5 linked regions of the Callithrix jacchus genome follow. Each later gene encodes a partner of the first gene's protein in a complex. Links are inferred from orthologs where the notes say so. Each region holds a gene or a part of one and is shown on either strand. Other genes may lie near its edges.

Region 1 (3,688 bases):
CAGTGCCATTATCAGATTGCATTTTCCTACTGAATCACAAACAAAAGTGTTATGCTACTAACATTTAACAAAATTTTAATAAGGTTGTGTTTGATGCTATTATTCAGATAATGTGTTCTTTGAATATATTTGAAATTGCTTTCCTTTGAATATATTTGCATTAAAGAGGAAATCAATTTGATTTGGTTCTTTGAAGAGTTTATCCACTTTCTGGGTAGCTTTAAAAAGACAGGGAAATTCAGTTTCTTCTTTGCAAGTCAATAAATAGAGAAGAAACACATTTGCTAAGATCTGTAGAAGTACTGGCAGCAGACTGCTGATGGTTTCAGTTAATGAAATGACTCATTTTGGCTGCTTGAGTTGCACAATTAAAATACAGAGACTGCACACATCACAGATTATGAGGGATGGTACCCTAGTGTTCTCTTTTCTTTAAAGCTAATATATTACGAATTAAGAAATTTAAGAGATCCACATTATTGCAATTTTTGATGAGTCATGCCCCCAATTAAATGGTAATCTCTTGAGCGTGCACGTTTCTGTTTGCAGCATTCCTCTTGCCCATTTCTGTTAAAATTGTGGTTGTGAGCCCAAAGCAGTGGTTTTATCTTTTCGAAAAGATACACTCACTTGACAAACTACAACATTACTTAATATTGACACGTTTCGTGTTGTTTTCTCATAGTTGTCTAGCTAGAGTTTAATGCAAAATATATAAATACGGAAATAGTGAAACCGAAGTCCTGCTTGCGAGGAAAGCCTGCCGCAGACTTTGGTTTTTAACAGACTCCCCGGGGCATTAGGGAAAGTAACTGGGGGTAATAGGTTGGAGGGTATGAAATTGGGCGGAGGGACGAAAACTAAGAACCCTTGGGGCTTTTTATGTCCTCCCACATTTTGTGTAGAAATAAATGCTTTTACTTTACTTCCAAAGCCGTACCTTCCTCTTCACCTTTTTTATTTCCCCCCCCCTCACATATTGATCTTTGAGATCTTGACAAATGCTCCCGATTTACAAACGCATCATACTGTCTGTAAAACTTGCCTGAGCCTGTGTGGTCCTGAATTTAGCCACACACTTGTTTAGGGATTTTGGTTCTCGTCCTCCGCTTGCATGGTTTGGTAAGAACACTTCACTCTACTAAAAATCATCGCCCGGACCAGCAAAGGCTGCACAAAAAAAAACGCTATTTGATTTTGTACCCGCGGCAGCCGCGCAGGCGCACCGTCCAGCCGCCGCGACGCAAGGCGCAGGCTTAGTGACGCAGCGCGCAGCCTCCGCCGTCGCCGCGCGCCCCTCCTGTGGCCCCGCCCAGGGCCTGGCGTCCGCTTGTTGCGTCGACCCACATTCCCGCCGCGGCTGCTTGCGGGCCGGAGTGTTTGCCGGCTGGAGTCTGCGCCGGAGCCCGCCGCCGGTAACATGTTGCAAAAGCCGAGGAGCCGGGGCCGCTCTAGCGGCCACGCCGAGAGGGTCAGAGACTCGAGCCAAGGCGGAGACGCCCGGGCCCCCAGAGACTGCGTTGCCGAGGAGACCCCGAGCACGTCCCGCGGGTCGGGCGGCTCGCAGGGGGCGCGGAGCTCCTCGCCTCAGGGCGCCCGCGGTTCTCTGGCCGCCCCCGCCGTGGGGCCCCGGACCCAGAAGCAGCTGGAGCTGAAAGTGTCCGAGCTGGTGCAGTTCTTGCTGATTAAGGACCAGAAGAAGATTCCGATCAAGCGGGCCGACATACTGAAGCACGTCGTCGGGGACTACAAGGACATCTTCCCCGACCTCCTCAAACTGGCCGCCGAGCGCCTCCAGTACGTCTTCGGGTACAAGCTGGTGGAACTTGAACCCAAGAGCAACACTTACATCCTCATCAACACCCTGGAGCCCGTGGAGGAGGATGCCGAGGTGAGGGGCGACCAAGGCACGCCCACCACGGGCCTCCTGATGATCGTCTTGGGGCTCATCTTTATGAGGGGCAACACCATCAAGGAGACTGAAGTCTGGGACTTTCTGCGGCGGCTAGGGGTCTTTCCTACCAAGAAGCATTTGGTTTTCGGAGATCCAAAGAAACTCATCACTGAGGACTTCGTGCGACAGCGTTACCTGGAGTACCGGCGGATACCTCACACCGACCCCGTGGACTACGAATTCCAGTGGGGCCCACGAACCAACCTGGAAACCAGCAAGATGAAAGTTCTTAAGTTTGTGGCCAAAGTCCATAACCAAGACCCCAAGGACTGGCCAGCACAGTACTGTGAGGCTTTGGCGGATGAGGAGAACAGGGCCAGACCTCAGCCGAGTGGCCCAGCCCCATCCTCTTGAAATCCGAGGTGGATTCAGAGGGAATCTCGGGACAAGAGTCTGAGACCCAAAGGCACATTGTAGAGGGATGGGGGAAGGGAGAACCCAGGGAGCATATTTCTGTAACGCTTCAATGTGTGTAGCTTTAGGATGTGTTTGCACAGTTTTGTTCTTTAACGTTGTGTTATTTGGTTCCAGATTTTCATTTATAAACAAAGGAGGATTTGTTTTGTTTTGATTTTACTGTTTTTGGTATGAAAAATTTTGTTAGCTTAGTAAAACGAGTTGGAAAACTTGACTATGATCTGGAAGAGATATGCAAGAAGAAACACAGTGAGTTGCTTTGCTGCCAAGAAAATAAAAGCAAGCTAGCTATTATTGGGTCTCATAACTACCCCAGTTTGTAAGGAAAAATAAAAGGTTTTATAAAATTAAAAATAACATAATTGCCCATATCCTTATTACCTTAACCTATTTATTTTTTTTATATTTCATACATATATAAGTATTATTCATGGTTCCAAGCAATGAACATGGTATGTTTTCTCCAGATAGCAATTATTTTTATTCGTAATTATTCAGCTTGGTTGCTAAACATGTAGTTCCACTTAGTTTTTTTTCTTCTTGCTACTCTATTATAATAAATGCTGTGTTTTTGAAACAGTTAAGCATTGTGTGTTTTTAAAATCGTGTTGTTTCACTTTTGTATGTGTGTACAGGATCATGAGGTAAAATGTATTTCTCACTCTGGCTCTCAAAAAAGCTTTTAAAGCAATAGCATAACCATTAACCGTGCCTGCTTGGAAATCGGACTGCCTGGGTTCAGATCCTGGCTACACCATAACTCTGACATGAATTTACGTAGGTTCCTTGCTGTATGCAGATGTTTCCTGACCTGTAAAGTGGGTTTAGTCCCTGATGTGGAGGATTTTACTTGTCAGTTTATTCTTTAATTTGTTAATTTGGTTTTTTTTTCCTCCTTGATCTGGAGCTGCCACTTTAATTATCCTTTTCTAAATCATTCCTATGGGAACAATTACTGGTTCAAAAGGTGTATTCCTCTAGTCTGACTCTATTATATGTATAGTTTTATGGGGAAATATAATGTGTGTGGTGAGTATAACCCACATTCAACAGTGGGAGCACGAGGGTGAGATATAAGATCTACCCCTTAGGGTATAGGAAATAGCTATAGGGAAAAGGATATGGGTCTTGGAGCTGTCTGGCAAACTGAATTTGAATTATGGCTCATGCTAACTTGTCAGCATGGTGATTGTGCGGGTAGGTTTTAAGCGCGGAATCTCAATTTCTTTATCTGTAAAATGAGAAAAATAATAGCCATCTAATAGTTTGTTTTATGGACTGAATGAACTGGAAGAGTTCATAGCCCCATCGTATTCC
Region 2 (3,858 bases), on another chromosome or scaffold:
GCTGGGGCAGCTGGATGGCAGGGCTGCTGGGCACCGAAGGGGAGCAGAGAGCCCAGGGAGGGAGAGCACGCATCCTGCCCAGACACCCGGCCTCAGCCCATTCAGACCAGCGGCACCTTGGGCCAGGGGAATCCAGATTGTGGGGAACTGAGGAGGCCAAGGCTCATATATCCAGGCTCGGGCCAGCCCAGTCCTGCTGGGACAGCTGGCCACAGCTGGGACTGGAGGCAAGGCTGTTCTGAGCAATGACAGTGAGCTCCCCTGGGCCACCGCTGGGGGTTCCGGTGGCTTCACCTGCTGGAGCCCAAACCCAGGGGGATCTGAGTGACGACTGAACTCCAGGAAAGAAGGCAAGGCCATGACATGGAGCCTCACACACAGGCTCGAGACCACAGGCGGGGCTGAGCAACTTTGCAGGACGGTTTATTCCAAAGCTGCGGATGGGAAGTTAAGAACAAAGAGGTGACTCGTGTGGAACCTGCAACACAGATGCCTCTCTTCCCAGAAGGGCTGTGACGTTCAGGCCCCCCAGGTGGCCAGCCCCTCGGCAGGGCACCACGGCTAATGCCGCCTGGACCGCAGGGACTTTCTGTTCGATTTCGAGATACCAGGCTCCCTCTCCTTCTCAGGGTCGAAGACTTCTGTACACAGAAAAGGCAGGGAAGACACAGTGAACGGAGGGGCTGGCGACACAGGGGCACCAGCTCAAGCCAGCAGCGACATCTCTTGTGCCAAGGACTCTGTCCTAGGCCTACACCATTCCCACTGCTAAGCCTTCCCAGCCCAGGAGGAAGGCAGAGTGAGCCCCAGTCCACAGAGGAACAAACTGAGGGAGCTGTGGACATGCTTTCGCACCCCCTAAGAGGGCCACCAGAGAGAGCCTTGTCTATGCAAGTGCTCCTGTGCGTAGGAATTTCTACTGGGTTCCAGAAAGCCCTCTGGAACGGTGTAGGCAGCTCCACCTTCACTTCTGCAGTGGCTGCTTCTAGGACTCAAGCTGCTAACACGGACCCCCACACACCATGGAGCGCGTCGGGGGCCGTCTCCAAGGGCTTCCCCCGTGCCAGGCCTGTGTCCTGCTGACCCAGCCCTCCCACAAGCGCCTCCGGCCCAGGCACCTGGGATCTCATGGGGCCAGTAGTCGTTGCAGTGAGGGCAGCGCGGTTCGGCATTCGACCGGAAGTACTTGGCCACGCAGGGTAAGTGCATCCTGATCCCGCAGGTCTCGCAGCTTTGACCCTGAAACAAGAAAGGCCAGTGCCTGTGGAGCTCATGCACACCTCCGTGTTCCGCAAAGCTCCAGGGAAGCTGCAAGGAGAATAGTCAGCAGGCAGCAGGCATCGTGTTACCTTCCGGGCCCCAGATTAATAAATACTGAAAATAATCCCAACGCCTTAGTGCAGTGGAGTCTTTGGTTTGTTTGCTTGTTTGTTGCAGTCGGTTTTACTAAACAATTCTGTATACAGGAATGCAGAGACAGAAGCCAAGGGGCTCGCCAGCTCCTGCACTCAGATCAGATCCTATAGGAGGCGTGTGGACAGCCACAGCTTTTCAGAAGGTTATTTGCTAACATGGATCAAAAGCTTTAAAAAAAAAAGTGCACTTTGTCCCAGAAACTCCACCCAAGGAAATAATCACCAGGTGCCCAAGGATACAGGTGTATAAGGGCTATGTACAACTGCAGTTACAAAATACAACTGCGAAACGACAGAAACTGAAAGGACACATCGACGTCCACGCTGGTTCAGTGGCCGCAAAGCCCTGCAAAACATCGGCGTGAAACAGACTACTCAGGAAAGCAGCATCAATACAGATGCTCACACACAACTGCCAAGACAATGCAGCCTGCACGGAAGACTCAGAAGAGCCTTCCTGAGAATAAAATAAGCGAGAGCCCACGGACTCCAACAGCAGAGCCAGGAGGAGGGGAGGCAGCGCGTCCCTGCGAGCCGCAGTGGGGAGGCAGCCTCTGACACGTCCTGGGAGATGGTCTTGGCCAGATCTCCTAGGAGGAAGCCTGGGAATGAGGGAGGGTTGGGCTCAGAGCCAGGAAGTATGTGTGCAGACCCGGGAGCTGATGGCCTGCCCCATGGGTACCTGGATGAGGAGGCTGTGGCAGATATTGCAGATCTTCACTGAGTCAGGGTACGTCTCCCGGATGTACTGCTCCATCTCCAGGATGGCCCGGCCGTGCAGGGTGAACTCCCCTTCCTTCTGCAGGGACACATGGGAGGCAGCCACCCTCAGCCAGGCCCTCTCCCCACTCACCAACTTCTGTTCCCTCTGCTATCCCACAGCCCAGAGCCCAGGAAGATGCAAGGGTCGAGGCAGCTTTTCCCCAACTCCAGCCAACAGGCATCAGCCACATCCCCCTGGCAGAGCCTCAGCAAGGGAAACTGTGGCAAAGACCCAAAAGGCATAGAGACGAGGTTCCCCTATACCCACCTTTTCTCAGCACCTGCTGTGCCTTCACACCTGACTGCTCCGTCTGCACAGCAGCCACGGGCAAGACAGCCACAGCCCTCCTGCAGGTGAGGACACTGAGGCCCTGGGGTCAGTCTCCCCAGGGTGCGAACCTGAGCACGCACCGCTTCCATCAGCCACCCACCCCACTCCCAAAGAGCAGCATCCCCAGTGCCTCCCAGCACTTCTGCCTCCAGCTGCAGCAGGGACCCTCAGATATCACTTCCAGCCACATCACTTTACAGATGGAGCTGGAAGGAGTCTGGAGAGGGCAGACGGGTCCCATCACACTGTGGGGAGTGGAGCCTCCAGTGGAAGCCAGGCCTCCTGGTTTCCACACAGGGGCGGGCCACCCATCATGCATCCTGAAAACCCTGGGAGAGCAAGGAAGTGCATGAGTAATGCAGCTCCCCAGGCTGACCCTACTGCCAGGTCACAGGAAAGAGACAGCATGGAGGAAGGCCCAAGGGAGGCAAATGACCTGGGACCCAGGACACGGACCTATGCAGGCTGATTCCAGCTTCTCCACAGTCAGCTCATACATTGGACATCAACTGCACCAGGAGATGGCGTCACTGATGCCTGTGAGTCACCTGAGTGCTCAACCGCCTTTTCTGTTATTTTCTAATTTTTACAAGCAAGAGCTGTCACTCCCGTTCCTGACAGGTAGAGCCCCCCACCCCATTCCTGCCTCCATCCCCACAGTGCAGCGTGGAGGGGGTGTGCTTGCGTAACCTGGGCTCACAGTGCGTTCACTCTGGTACACCGGTGAAGGGGTCTGGTGAGCACAGGAAGGGAGACAGGGCAGAGGTTGGGGTGTGCATTGCAGGAGCAGTGGAGGGAGGCCTGGGCACCAGGCACATGTGCCCTACACCATGGCAGTTGCTAGTGCACAGGGGCTTTCTGCCCTTCAAGTGCTGTGGGCACGGGAGGATGTGACCAGCCCCCAGGCCGTCCTCGGTCCTCGGACCTATGGCTGTTACCTTCCCCAAAGCTCCCAGATCCATCATGGCACTCCATCTTCCCGGCCACCGCCCTCTTCCACCCTCCCCTGCTCCTGCTGCTCTCTGAGCCCACTCTCCTCCAGCAACGAGCTCGCTACAAAACAAGCCTGGCCCTGTCACTCTCACCTCACTACCACCCCCCATCCCACTCACCCCCCAGGGCTTCTTACCACCCTTAGGTCCAAGAGCCAAGTCCCTGATGCGCCTATCCCCTGGGCTCCCCTCATCCACTTGCCCCAGCAATCTCTGTGCTCCAATGGCCCTGGCCTCAGCTTCCTGAGCACACCAGCCCCTCTGGCCACAGAGTGGTTGCGGGCTGATGATCCTCCCACCCCAGGCTCCAGGCAACTCCACACAGCCTTCAGCTAGAGTGTCACTTCCTCAGCAGCTG
Region 3 (3,858 bases), on another chromosome or scaffold:
TTGTCTCTTTAACTGATTTATATGTATTTTGGAATACTCCACATTTTATTCTGCATAATTCTGTCACTGGGACCACTGGCAAAATATGCCTTTGTTATCATTTCTGAGAAAATACTTCGGTTGACACAAGCTTTTCTCTGAGGTTAATATCAAATTCATCTTATATGTGGGAATGCAACCTGAAGTAAGATTAAAGACAGTCTAAAGCAAATTTCCATGGTACATTTCTAAGTAGAGTTTTTTTTAAACCAATTTTGAAATAATTTCAGACTTAAAGGGTTATAAGACTACCATAAACATGTGCCATATGGCCTTTACCCATATTCATCAGTCGTTAAAGTGTCAGTTACCACATTTACTTTATCACTCTACATATTATTATTGAAGAATGAAGTGAGAATGATAGGTGGCCTGCTCCTTTTCCCTAATCTTTCAGTGACTATTTCTTGAGAAGAAGGATATTCTCTTATACAATATGACAGTTATCAAAATCAGGAAATTTAACAGTTTTACCATTCTGTCATCTAATCTACAATTGCATTCAAATTTTTCCAATTCTTTCTCTAAATAATGTCTAAAACATAAAAGCAAGCACATAAAATTTTAGGTAGTTTCTTCTACCTAATATGCCAAGATTAATATTTTGCTACAATGGGTCTGAAACATACACTGGCCAGTGTACACAGATACCTTTGCCAGCTCCCTTCTACAGCTTTTCTTCTGTATCCTTTTAAAAGCATATAAAAGCAATCAAAAAATAATCTTTAATCTTACCCGTATAATGAAGGAAACATGAAAGATGTTTTCCACTGTCCGGGGGAAAGAATGTGGATCAACCACAAAGTCAAAGAAGGAAATTGGGGTATCAGCTACAGACAAAAAGAAAAAAAATTAATTTCTGCTAATCAATAATATCAGTACTCTCTAGCATTAGCCAGACAGACAAAGAAAAGACGAGTACTCATCCTGATGCAAGAATGTCTATCAATCCAGGCTGGGCACCGTGGCTCATGCCTGTAATCTCAGCATTTTGGGAGGCCAAGGAGTTCAAGACCAGCCTGACCAACATGGTGAAACCCTGTCTCTACTAAAAATACAAAAATTAGCTGGGCGTGGTGGCACGTGCCTGTAATCCTAGCTACTCAGGAGGCTGAGGCAGGAGAATTGCCTGAACCCAGGAGGTGGAGGCTGCGGTTAGCCAAGATTGTGCCACTGCACTTCAGCCTGGGCGACAGAGTGAGACTCTGTCTCAAAAAAAAAAAAAGAATGTATATCAGTCCAATCCTTCTGGGGGTCAGTATGGCATCTCTTCTAAAATCATGTATGCCCACTTACCTGGAAGCCACCTCTAAAAGGCTGTCCTGCAGAAATACAAGCATAAGTGCACAAAATTACATACTAAGATCTTTTACTTCAGCAATTCACAGAAGAGTAAAATGCTATAAAGAACTTAATCATCCAACTGGGTATGGTGCTCACGCCTAAAATCCCAGCACTTTGGAAGGTTGATGCTAACAGATCACCTGAGGTCAGGAGTTTGAGACCAGCTTGGCCAACATGGCGAAACCCCGTCTCTACTAAAAATACACACACAAAAAAATTAGCCAGACGTGGTGGCGTGTGCCTGTAATCCCAGCTACTCCGGGGGCTAAGGCAGAAGAATCGCTTGAACCTGGGAAGTGAAGGCTGCAGTGAGCCGAGATGGTGCCACAGTGCTCCAGCCTGGGCAACAGAGTGAGACTCTGTCTCAAAAAAAAAAAAAAATTAATTATCCATTAATGGAGGATCTGTTAAATATATTTATAGTACAGCCATATAGTGGGAATCAGTGAGCAAAATAAGGGAGATCTGTATGTAATAATATGGAAGAATGTCCACATGGAAAAGTCACTTCACAGGAGAATGTTCATATTATGATTAGCTTGGAAAAAAAGAAAAACAAAAACTATTTAGGTAGATAGGACTGATAAACAAAATAATTTGAAAATATAGACCCTGCATTTTATAATGAGGTGGAATAGGTACTTTTGACACTTCTTACTTGAATGGCATATTTCATTTTGTAACAAAAAAATCCCCATCTTTTAAAGATAAAAATAAAAAGTTAACTTTGAAGTTCTCACATGAAATTTCAAAAGGAGAGAAGAATCCTCATTAAATGTATATGCCAAGAAGTTATCAAAATGCTTCAAACATTACATACAGCTGAAATTGCCTTTTCAACACAAGTATCCTCATTGGACAGATAAATCCACTTTGAATTTGGTGTTACACTTACGATCTTCTCGAAAATATGTCTGCAATAATCCCAAGATTCTTTCTACTTCTTTCTCTGTTGCTTCTTGGTGAGATTCTTCCATTCTGCTTAACTGAAAAAATTAAAGTGATTATCAAGCTGACGGCTGACTTACTGGCCTATTAACAACCTTTTCTTCTCTCTTGCACACCCACACTTTTAAATTGAGACAGGGTTTCTGCTTTGCCACCCAGGCTAGAGTTCAGTGGCACAATCTCAGCTCACTGTCACCTCAGACTCCTGTGCTCAAACGATCCTACCAACTCAGCTTCCTGAGTAGCAGCTAGAAGTGTGCACCACTACACCTGGCTATTTTTTTTTTTAATTCATGCTACTTTGTCTAATTAGATATGGGGTCTTGCTATGTTGCTCAGGCTGGTCTCAAACTTCTGGTCTCAAGTGATCCTCCTGCCTCAGCCTCCCCAAAGCACCTGGATTACAGGCATGAGCCACTGTGCCCAGTCTAAATGTCTTCTGCTGGGGATTGCTAGCAGTTTATATCCCCATCTTAACATATATCATTTAAAAAAATACAGACTTTCTAGTTTCAAGTTACTAATAGAAGAGTAACATTACAAAATCAACTATTTTCAGGTTGAACATAAAATAGCAAAATACAAAAGGGCAGTTTAGAAACAGTAGTTCTCAAGTGGGCGTGACTTTCCCCCTGTCCCCAGGGGACATGAGTTGTCATATGTAGACATTTTTGGTTGTCATAATTGGGGGGTGGGGGTGGGCTACTGACATACAGTAGGTAGAGGCCAGGGGTGCTGCTAAACACCCTATAATGCACACGACAGCTCCCAAAACCAAGAATTATCCAGCCCTAAATATTGACGGCGCTGAGGGAGAGAAACCCTGGCTTAGAACTGATGAAAACTACAGAAATTAGTTTAAACAAAGACAAGCAACCAATCCAATAAAATGCTTAATGGCTTAAATAAAATGATAAACATTTAAGTGACAAAACCTGGCTCCAGACCCAAAAGCTTAGAAAAAATGGCCAACTTGCATGCACATTATTTTAACAGCTATTTTAACTTCTAGGTGTTTTTTTAAAAAGCAACATTTTAAAACAAACAAACCTGGGCGGGCATTGCCCTCTCCTCTCGGACTGCAGGAACTCTTCTTGGACGATCAACTCGTGGCTTTGGCGCAGGGAACTCTCCATATATTGAACCCAACCTAATGAAAAATATGCTTTCATGCCTTTTTTTGCCTGTTGTTTAACAAACTAATTTCACTAATTACAACTAGTTTGCATGGTATAGTCAAATTCAGACCAGGCATCAGTGATATATATATATATATAAGCTGACATCAGACCAAGACTCTTGGTAAGGTTTATGACATCCTTTCTGACTTATTTGTATTTCTACAAAACTCCTAGGAGCTTTACTCAACCACAGATACCTCCTCAGACACCTTCATATTGCCCTGCACAGTAAGCCAGTCAATGTGCCTGTGATGTCTTCCCACCTAACCTAAAAGCCCTAATACAGACTTGGGCTACAGGAACAGATGTATCGTGTGGAGGCGAAAGCCCCAAGAATACAGGCTCA
Region 4 (2,835 bases), on another chromosome or scaffold:
GAAAAGTAACCTAAAAGTGATCACAGGCCAGGTGCAGTGGCTCACGCCTGTAATCCCAGCACTTTGGGAGGCCAAGGTGGGCAGATCACAAGGTCAAGAGATCGAGACCATCCTGGCCAACATGGTGAAACCCCATCTCTTTTAGTAAAAAATACAAAAATTAGGTGGGCGTGGTGGTGTGCACCTGTAGTCCCAGCTGCTTGGGAGGCTGAGGCGGGACAATCACTTGAACCAGGGAGGCGGAGGTTGCAGTGAGCCAAGATCGCACCACTGCACTCCAGCCTGGCGACAGAGCAAGTCGTCTCAAAAAAAAAAAAAAAAAAAAAAGTGGTCATATACTTAGAAATCCCCTGTGGCTTAATCATATAGTTTTTGGCCCACTATGTACATATTAGCAGGAATACTTCCCAAAAAGGAATTTAAAAGGTAACAAAAGGGGTAAGTTCCAGTGTCCTACTTAATCAGAGGAAGAAACATAGGAGTCATATCATTATGTTCTGGAATTGAGATTTTTCTCATTCCTTTTCTGGAAAAGGCACTCTTTCAGCACTAAAAGATGACTGGGAAATGCAACCCCTAAAACTCTGGCTTTTCATTTTCCTAAAAAAAAAGCCTCTCTTGTCATGTACTACCCTTCCTCTTCATTTGTCACTACCACTGTGCTGGCCTACGGGAAATTTAAGTATCCCAACATCTACTCACAGGTTAAACTTTGATAAAAACAGAATTATCTTTATAGAGAATTTTCCATAATCTACAACCATTGCAATGGGAAATTTTCTTTTGTTAAATCTAGCGTTATGGGTAAATTACAAAGTGTATATATTCAAAATGTGTTTATTAATGTAATCAGATTTTTTATTTTTTAATTAAGTACTTATGAAAAATTTTAGCCAGGTGCAGTGGCTCACACCTGTAATCCTGGTACTTTGGGAGGCCAAGGCAAGTAGATCGCTTGAGCCCAGGAGTTTGAGACCAGCCTGAGAAACATGGCAAAACCCCATCTCTACAAACAAAAAATGCAAAAATTAGCTGGGTTTGGCAGCATGCATCTATAGTCCCAGCTACTCGGGAGGCTGAGATAGGAGGATCACTTGAGACCAGGAGGGGGAGGTTTCAGTGAGCCAAGATCACACCACTGCACTACAGCCTGGGTGACAGAATGATACTTTGTCTTTAAAAAAACAAAAAATTGCTTTTGCCCATCCTGCATTCAAATTTTTATTAAATAGTGTCATCTGTCTAATTTTTTCAGTAGATATTCTTGTGGAATAGTCAGATCTGTTAATACCCTACTGCTTGCCAAATACCTTAGCCTATAAACGTCTCTGTTACACATTTTTCAGGATAGTACGCTGTCAAACAAGTTGCTTGAGAAGTGTTTGTCAACAAAAAGTGAAAGTATCTATCTTAGGAAAATTATGGAGGACATACTCTTTTCCAAGGTCTCCCTGGGAAGTTGAATAATCCCAGTTATCCTGTGAATCTAGAGGGCTCAATTATTCCTTATTTCGATTATTCCTTAGGCCAGGTATACTAATGTAGGTAAGGATTACAGTCCATCAAGGTTTATATTGAGGTGGGGTCCGTAAGAGTCTTACTGGCTGGGCATAATGGCTCACACCTGTAATCCCAGCACTTTGGGAGGCTGAGGTAGGCAGAGCACCTGAGGTCGGCAGATCACCTGAGGTCAGGACTTCAAGACCAGCCTGGCCAATAGGATGAAAATGCCATCTCTTCTAAAACTACAAAAAAATTATCTGGGCCTGGTAGCACGTGCCTGTAATCCCAGCTGCTGTGGAGGCTGGCTGGGACACGAGAATCTCGAACCTGGGAAGTGGAGGTTGCAGCCAGCCAAGATCACACTACTGCACTCCATCCTGGGCAACAGAGTGAAAAAAAAAAAAAAAGTTTTATTAATATTACAAATAAAACAATACATTTGACTATACACATATAAGGTTGGAAACTTTTTCTCATTATAGAGCTTATGTGACAGTTTGTCTGTTTTAATACTGACAGCTCCTGCAAAATCTTCCTTATTCTGAAAAGATGACAGTATTGTTTGTCTACAATGGCCCTCATATGCTGGAACCAAACAGATGGAATTTAAAGGCTTTCCAAAGACGGCGGCGCCGTATTACATTCACTCAACCTTCTCAATAAAAGTAAAGAGGAGACTTGGGAATTTTTCTATTAAATTCTGTTTATAAGTGTGGCTCAACTGAATAAAAGTTAGGAGATTGATTAAAACAAAAGCAGTTATTTTTGGAAACCTGCCTTTTTTTTTTTTTTTTTGAGACGGAGTTTTGCTGTTGTTACCCATACTGGAGTGCAATGGCACGATCTCGGCTCACCGCAACCTCCGCCTTCTGGGTTCAGGCAATTCTCCTGCCTCAGCCTCCCGAGTAGCTGGGACTACAGGCGTGTACCACCATGCCCAGATAATTTTTGTATTTTTAGTAGAGACGGGGTTTTACCTCATTGACCAGGATGGTCTCGATCTGTTGACCTCGTGATCCACCCGCCTCGGCCTCCCAAAGTGCTGGGATTATAGGCGTGAGCCACCACGCCCAGCCGGAAACCTGCTTTTAAATACAAATACGTTGATAATGGAAACCATAATGACCTTTCTAAAACATCATCTGGTTGTAAAAGTTAAGTCTTCTTCAATCTTGGTTGAACTTGGGTCCTTAGCAACTCTGACCATGAGTCATAGAGTTCTCATGTTAAAAGGTACTTATTACGAATCAAGGGTACAGTGGAAGAGGGTTTAATCAATCACAAGAAGTTTACTTATATGGTATCCCTGAGCTTTAATTGCAGAGTAACTTT
Region 5 (3,258 bases), on another chromosome or scaffold:
CAAAAAAAAAAAAAAAGAAAGAAAGAAATTTAGCTCCATGATGGTGTAGGCACTACTCACATGTTGGTATTGCTTGTGTCCCCAGCACCTGGACAGGGCCTGGTTCAGGGAGGGGCTCAGTGAATAAATGAATGAGCACACTTTGGTCCTGATTTTTAATGCTTTTCCTTTTCTGGTAAAATGCCTCACTTAAATACTTGAGTATAAAAGAAGTTTCTGCTTAAGACAGTAAAGGGGACTGACTTGACGTTCTTTCTCCCTCACAGTTGCCCTAAAATTGGCTGTAGCCACACGGATATGAGAATGTCGGATCTCGTCCAGGATGAAGCACTTAGAAGGGCGATTGAGAACCATAACAAGAAAAGACATCGTCATTCCGAATAGGAAAAGCCACCTGCCCGCAAGGCATCCGCAGCCTACCTCCTACCCCAGCCGTCTGTTGAGAGCAGTGCTGAACCCGGCGGTTAGGGACTGGCTGCAGAGCATACTTGTTTGGGGTAAAACAAGTGTGCTTGAAAACATTTTTCTAAGTTACACAACAGAAATGCAAGCATATTGTTTATTTTTAAGTGTTCTATAATGTTGAATAAAACTTTGATCATCTGCGGTGTCCTGCCTGCACACCTCCTAATATATGGATTATTCCAGAGGCGCAGGCATTGCCATTTCGAGGACATCAGACTGATTTTTATAATAGTTTTGACTAAAGAATGGCTTTCAGGTGGCTCATACCTTTAATCCCAGTACTTTGGGAAGCCAAGGTGGCCAGATCACTTGAGGTCAGGAGTTCAAGACCAGCCTGGGCAACATAGTGAAACTCCATCTCTACCAAAAATACAAAAATCAGCCACGTGGGGTGGTGCACACCTGTAATCCTAGCTACTCGGGAGTCTAAGGCAGGCGAATCAGTTGAATCCAGGAAGTAGAGGTTACAGTGAGCTGAGATCGCACCACTGCACTCCAGCCTGGGAGACAGAGCAAGACTCTATCTTAAAAAAAAAAAAAAAGGTATGTCTTTCAAGTGATATTTGAAATTAAAACATATAGAAATACCCCCACTCACGTATAGTAAATAATGCCATTGAGTTATAAAGCAAAGCCAGTTTGCTTTCCTGTATTTACATTGTATATTGACAGTTCCAAACATAAATGCTTTTAGTGTCATTCTGAATGGAATAGAATGCTCCAGTAGACTGGCTTATCAGTGCATTGCAGTGATGATGGATGTCTATAGTGGAACTCTGCTGCAGCCCTCCAAGAGCCTAAACTGCCATCAACAGGAACTACATTCCAGCTGCTCTCTATTTTTCTGGATGGCTGGCTGCAAGTGACCCTGGGCGCTGGTGTCTTCAGCCATGAAATGAAGGTGTTTAGCAAGATGCTCTCTAACGTCCTATGACCCCTGAGAGTCTGTGGATTTACACCAGCAGGATCTTTAAGTTGAATGTCTTCAATTACATTCTAATTGTGTGATGAGCACCAATCTATTGCCTCCATTAGCAACCTTTTATCAAGCTTACTATTTAATTAAACCAAATGAAACATACCCTGGTGACACTGGAAAACCAAGAATAGCCAATAATAGCTAACATTTATTGAGTACTTACTGTATACCAGGTGCTATTCCAAGTGCTTTACATATATATTAACTCCTATAATCTTCATAGCCTATCGAGAGAGGTACAGTTCTTACAGATAAGGAAAACTAGGCACAGAGAAGCAAAGCCACCCATGGAAAGTCATAGAGCTAGGAGATGGCTGAACTGGGAGCAGAATCTGGAGATCCCAGTCCTAAAATCTCCACTTTTAATTCCATACTCTACTCCTCTCTATTGACTTTATTTAGAAACTGAAAATATATTCAAAGCCCACATTTAGAAACCAACGCTTTTGTAAATAAACAATGCGTGTGTGTGTGTGTGTGTGTCCATGTACAAAAAAAAGTCTAATTAAAATGGAGGCCTAGGCGGGAGGATCACTTAAGCCCAGGAGTTTGAGACCATAAAACTTTTAATAGAGATGGCAAGTCCCCATCTCTATTAAAAAAGAGGCAGGTCGAGGTGGCTCATTCCTGTAATCCCAGCACTTTGGGAGGCCTGCCTCGGCTGATGACCCCCCCACCTCACACAGCCCCCGCAACCCGTGTTTGCCATTATCCCTGATTGCCCTGTGGAGCTTCCCCCTCCACCCACATAAGCTTCCCCTCACCCCACCCTGCCATCTTAACGGTTATTATGATAATGTGACTACTCCTCACCCCACCCTGCTATCTTAACTACTCTTATCCCACCCACCATTGCAACTGAACTTATGGTAATGTTATACTCCTTGCCTGGACCCCCCACCACTGTAACTGATCTTACTCTGTAACTTTCCACTGCCCACCCCAAACCTATAAAACCAACTCCTGTCCCACTGCCCTTTGCTAATGTCCTTTTCGGCCTTAGCCCACCAGCACCCAGGTGAATAAACAGCCATGTTGCTCACACAAAGCCTGTTTGGGGGGGGTCTCTTCATTCAAAGCATGCGTTTTTAATAATTATCAGGTCAGGAGTTTGAGACCAGCCTGGTACAAAAATTAGCCGGGCAAGGTGGCGCATGCCTGTAATCTCAGCTACTCGGGAGGCTGAGGCAGGAGAATCACTTGAACCTGGGAGGCGGAGGTTGCAGTGAGCCAAGATCATACCACTGCACTCCAGCCTGGACAACAGAGCAGACTCTGTCTCAAAAAAAATAAAAAGAAAAAAAGAAAGAAAAGAAAAAAGACCACGTGCAGTGGCTCACATCTGTAATTTCAGCATTTTGGGAGGCCACGGTGGGCAGATCATCTGAGGTCAGGAGTTCAAGACCAGCTTGGCCAACATGGAGAAACCCTGTCTTAACTAAAAATATACAACTTAGCCAGGTACAGTGGCTCACACCTGTAATCCCAGCACTTTGGGTAGCCAAGACGGGCAGATCATGAGGTCATAAGTTCGAGACAGCCTGGCCAACATGGTGTAACCCATCTCTACTAAAAATATGAAAATTAACCTTGGTGTGATCCTGTAATCCCAGCTACTCAGGAGGCTGAGGTATGAGAATTGCTTGAACCTGGGAGGCAGAGGTTGCAGTGAGCTGAGATTGTGCCACTGCACTCCAGCCTGGGCAACAGAGCGAGACTCTACCTGAAAAAAAAAAAAAGACCCACCTCTATAATTTAATCACCTCCCACTGGGTTCCTCCCACGGCATGTGAGAACTGTGGGAGTTACAATTA

Evidence for each region.
Region 2: the proteins of NSMCE3 (region 1) and NSMCE1 are in contact, whole or in part, in a crystal structure (PDB 7DG2), measured with the Xenopus laevis proteins. The link is inferred for Callithrix jacchus from reciprocal best matches to the Homo sapiens genes NSMCE3 and NSMCE1. Residues at the interface, in XP_018121157.1 of Xenopus laevis: Gly57, Glu58, Val60, Gln61, Tyr62, Leu64, Ile65, Lys66, Gln68, Lys69, Val82, Thr100, Gln102, Gln103, Val104, Phe105, Gly106, Phe107, Asn123, Leu125, Gln126, Arg127, Val128, Gly130, Asp131, Gly132, Met133, Arg134, Asp136, Glu137; in NP_001083134.1 of Xenopus laevis: Ile5, Glu7, Gln10, Arg11, Leu13, Gln14, Ala15, Met17, Ser18, His19, Leu30, His33, Leu37, His38, Leu54, His57, Leu58, Pro60, Leu61, Phe62, Met63, Val84, Asn86, Ile88, Thr89, Met91, Ala92, Ser93, Asp94, Gln149.
Region 3: NSMCE3 (region 1) and NSMCE4A share a complex: the UniProt entries of both Homo sapiens proteins name them as parts of the SMC5-SMC6 complex. The link is inferred for Callithrix jacchus from reciprocal best matches to the Homo sapiens genes NSMCE3 and NSMCE4A.
Region 4: NSMCE3 (region 1) and SMC5 share a complex: the UniProt entries of both Homo sapiens proteins name them as parts of the SMC5-SMC6 complex. The link is inferred for Callithrix jacchus from reciprocal best matches to the Homo sapiens genes NSMCE3 and SMC5.
Region 5: NSMCE3 (region 1) and NSMCE2 share a complex: the UniProt entries of both Homo sapiens proteins name them as parts of the SMC5-SMC6 complex. The link is inferred for Callithrix jacchus from reciprocal best matches to the Homo sapiens genes NSMCE3 and NSMCE2.

The regions. Positions count from the first base shown.
Region 1 is NC_133507.1:7,526,023-7,529,710, reverse strand, and holds NSMCE3 (non-structural maintenance of chromosomes element 3 homolog), read left to right. Parts: upstream 1-1,328; 5' UTR 1,329-1,420; coding exon 1,421-2,308; 3' UTR 2,309-2,955; downstream 2,956-3,688. UniProt on the Homo sapiens protein: Component of the SMC5-SMC6 complex, a complex involved in repair of DNA double-strand breaks by homologous recombination. The complex may promote sister chromatid homologous recombination by recruiting the SMC1-SMC3 cohesin complex to double-strand breaks.
Region 2 is NC_133513.1:27,812,076-27,815,933, forward strand, and holds the end of NSMCE1 (non-structural maintenance of chromosomes element 1 homolog), read right to left. Parts: intron 2,215-3,858; coding exon 2,098-2,214; intron 1,365-2,097; exon of another isoform or gene 1,240-1,364; coding exon 1,119-1,239; exon of another isoform or gene 642-1,118; coding exon 562-641; 3' UTR 408-561; downstream 1-407. UniProt on the Homo sapiens protein: RING-type zinc finger-containing E3 ubiquitin ligase that assembles with melanoma antigen protein (MAGE) to catalyze the direct transfer of ubiquitin from E2 ubiquitin-conjugating enzyme to a specific substrate.
Region 3 is NC_133513.1:115,348,568-115,352,425, forward strand, and holds part of NSMCE4A (non-structural maintenance of chromosomes element 4 homolog A), read right to left. Parts: intron 3,482-3,858; coding exon 3,382-3,481; intron 2,370-3,381; coding exon 2,279-2,369; coding exon of another isoform or gene 2,275-2,278; intron 1,249-2,274; coding exon of another isoform or gene 1,143-1,248; exon of another isoform or gene 876-1,142; intron 870-875; coding exon 775-869; intron 1-774. UniProt on the Homo sapiens protein: Component of the SMC5-SMC6 complex, a complex involved in DNA double-strand breaks by homologous recombination. The complex may promote sister chromatid homologous recombination by recruiting the SMC1-SMC3 cohesin complex to double-strand breaks.
Region 4 is NC_133502.1:94,535,374-94,538,208, reverse strand, and holds part of SMC5 (structural maintenance of chromosomes protein 5), read left to right. Parts: intron 1-893; coding exon of another isoform or gene 894-950; exon of another isoform or gene 951-1,910; intron 1,911-2,022; coding exon 2,023-2,166; 3' UTR 2,167-2,835. UniProt on the Homo sapiens protein: Core component of the SMC5-SMC6 complex, a complex involved in repair of DNA double-strand breaks by homologous recombination.
Region 5 is NC_133517.1:72,007,465-72,010,722, reverse strand, and holds the end of NSMCE2 (E3 SUMO-protein ligase NSE2), read left to right. Parts: intron 1-266; coding exon 267-384; 3' UTR 385-2,492; downstream 2,493-3,258. UniProt on the Homo sapiens protein: E3 SUMO-protein ligase component of the SMC5-SMC6 complex, a complex involved in DNA double-strand break repair by homologous recombination. Is not be required for the stability of the complex.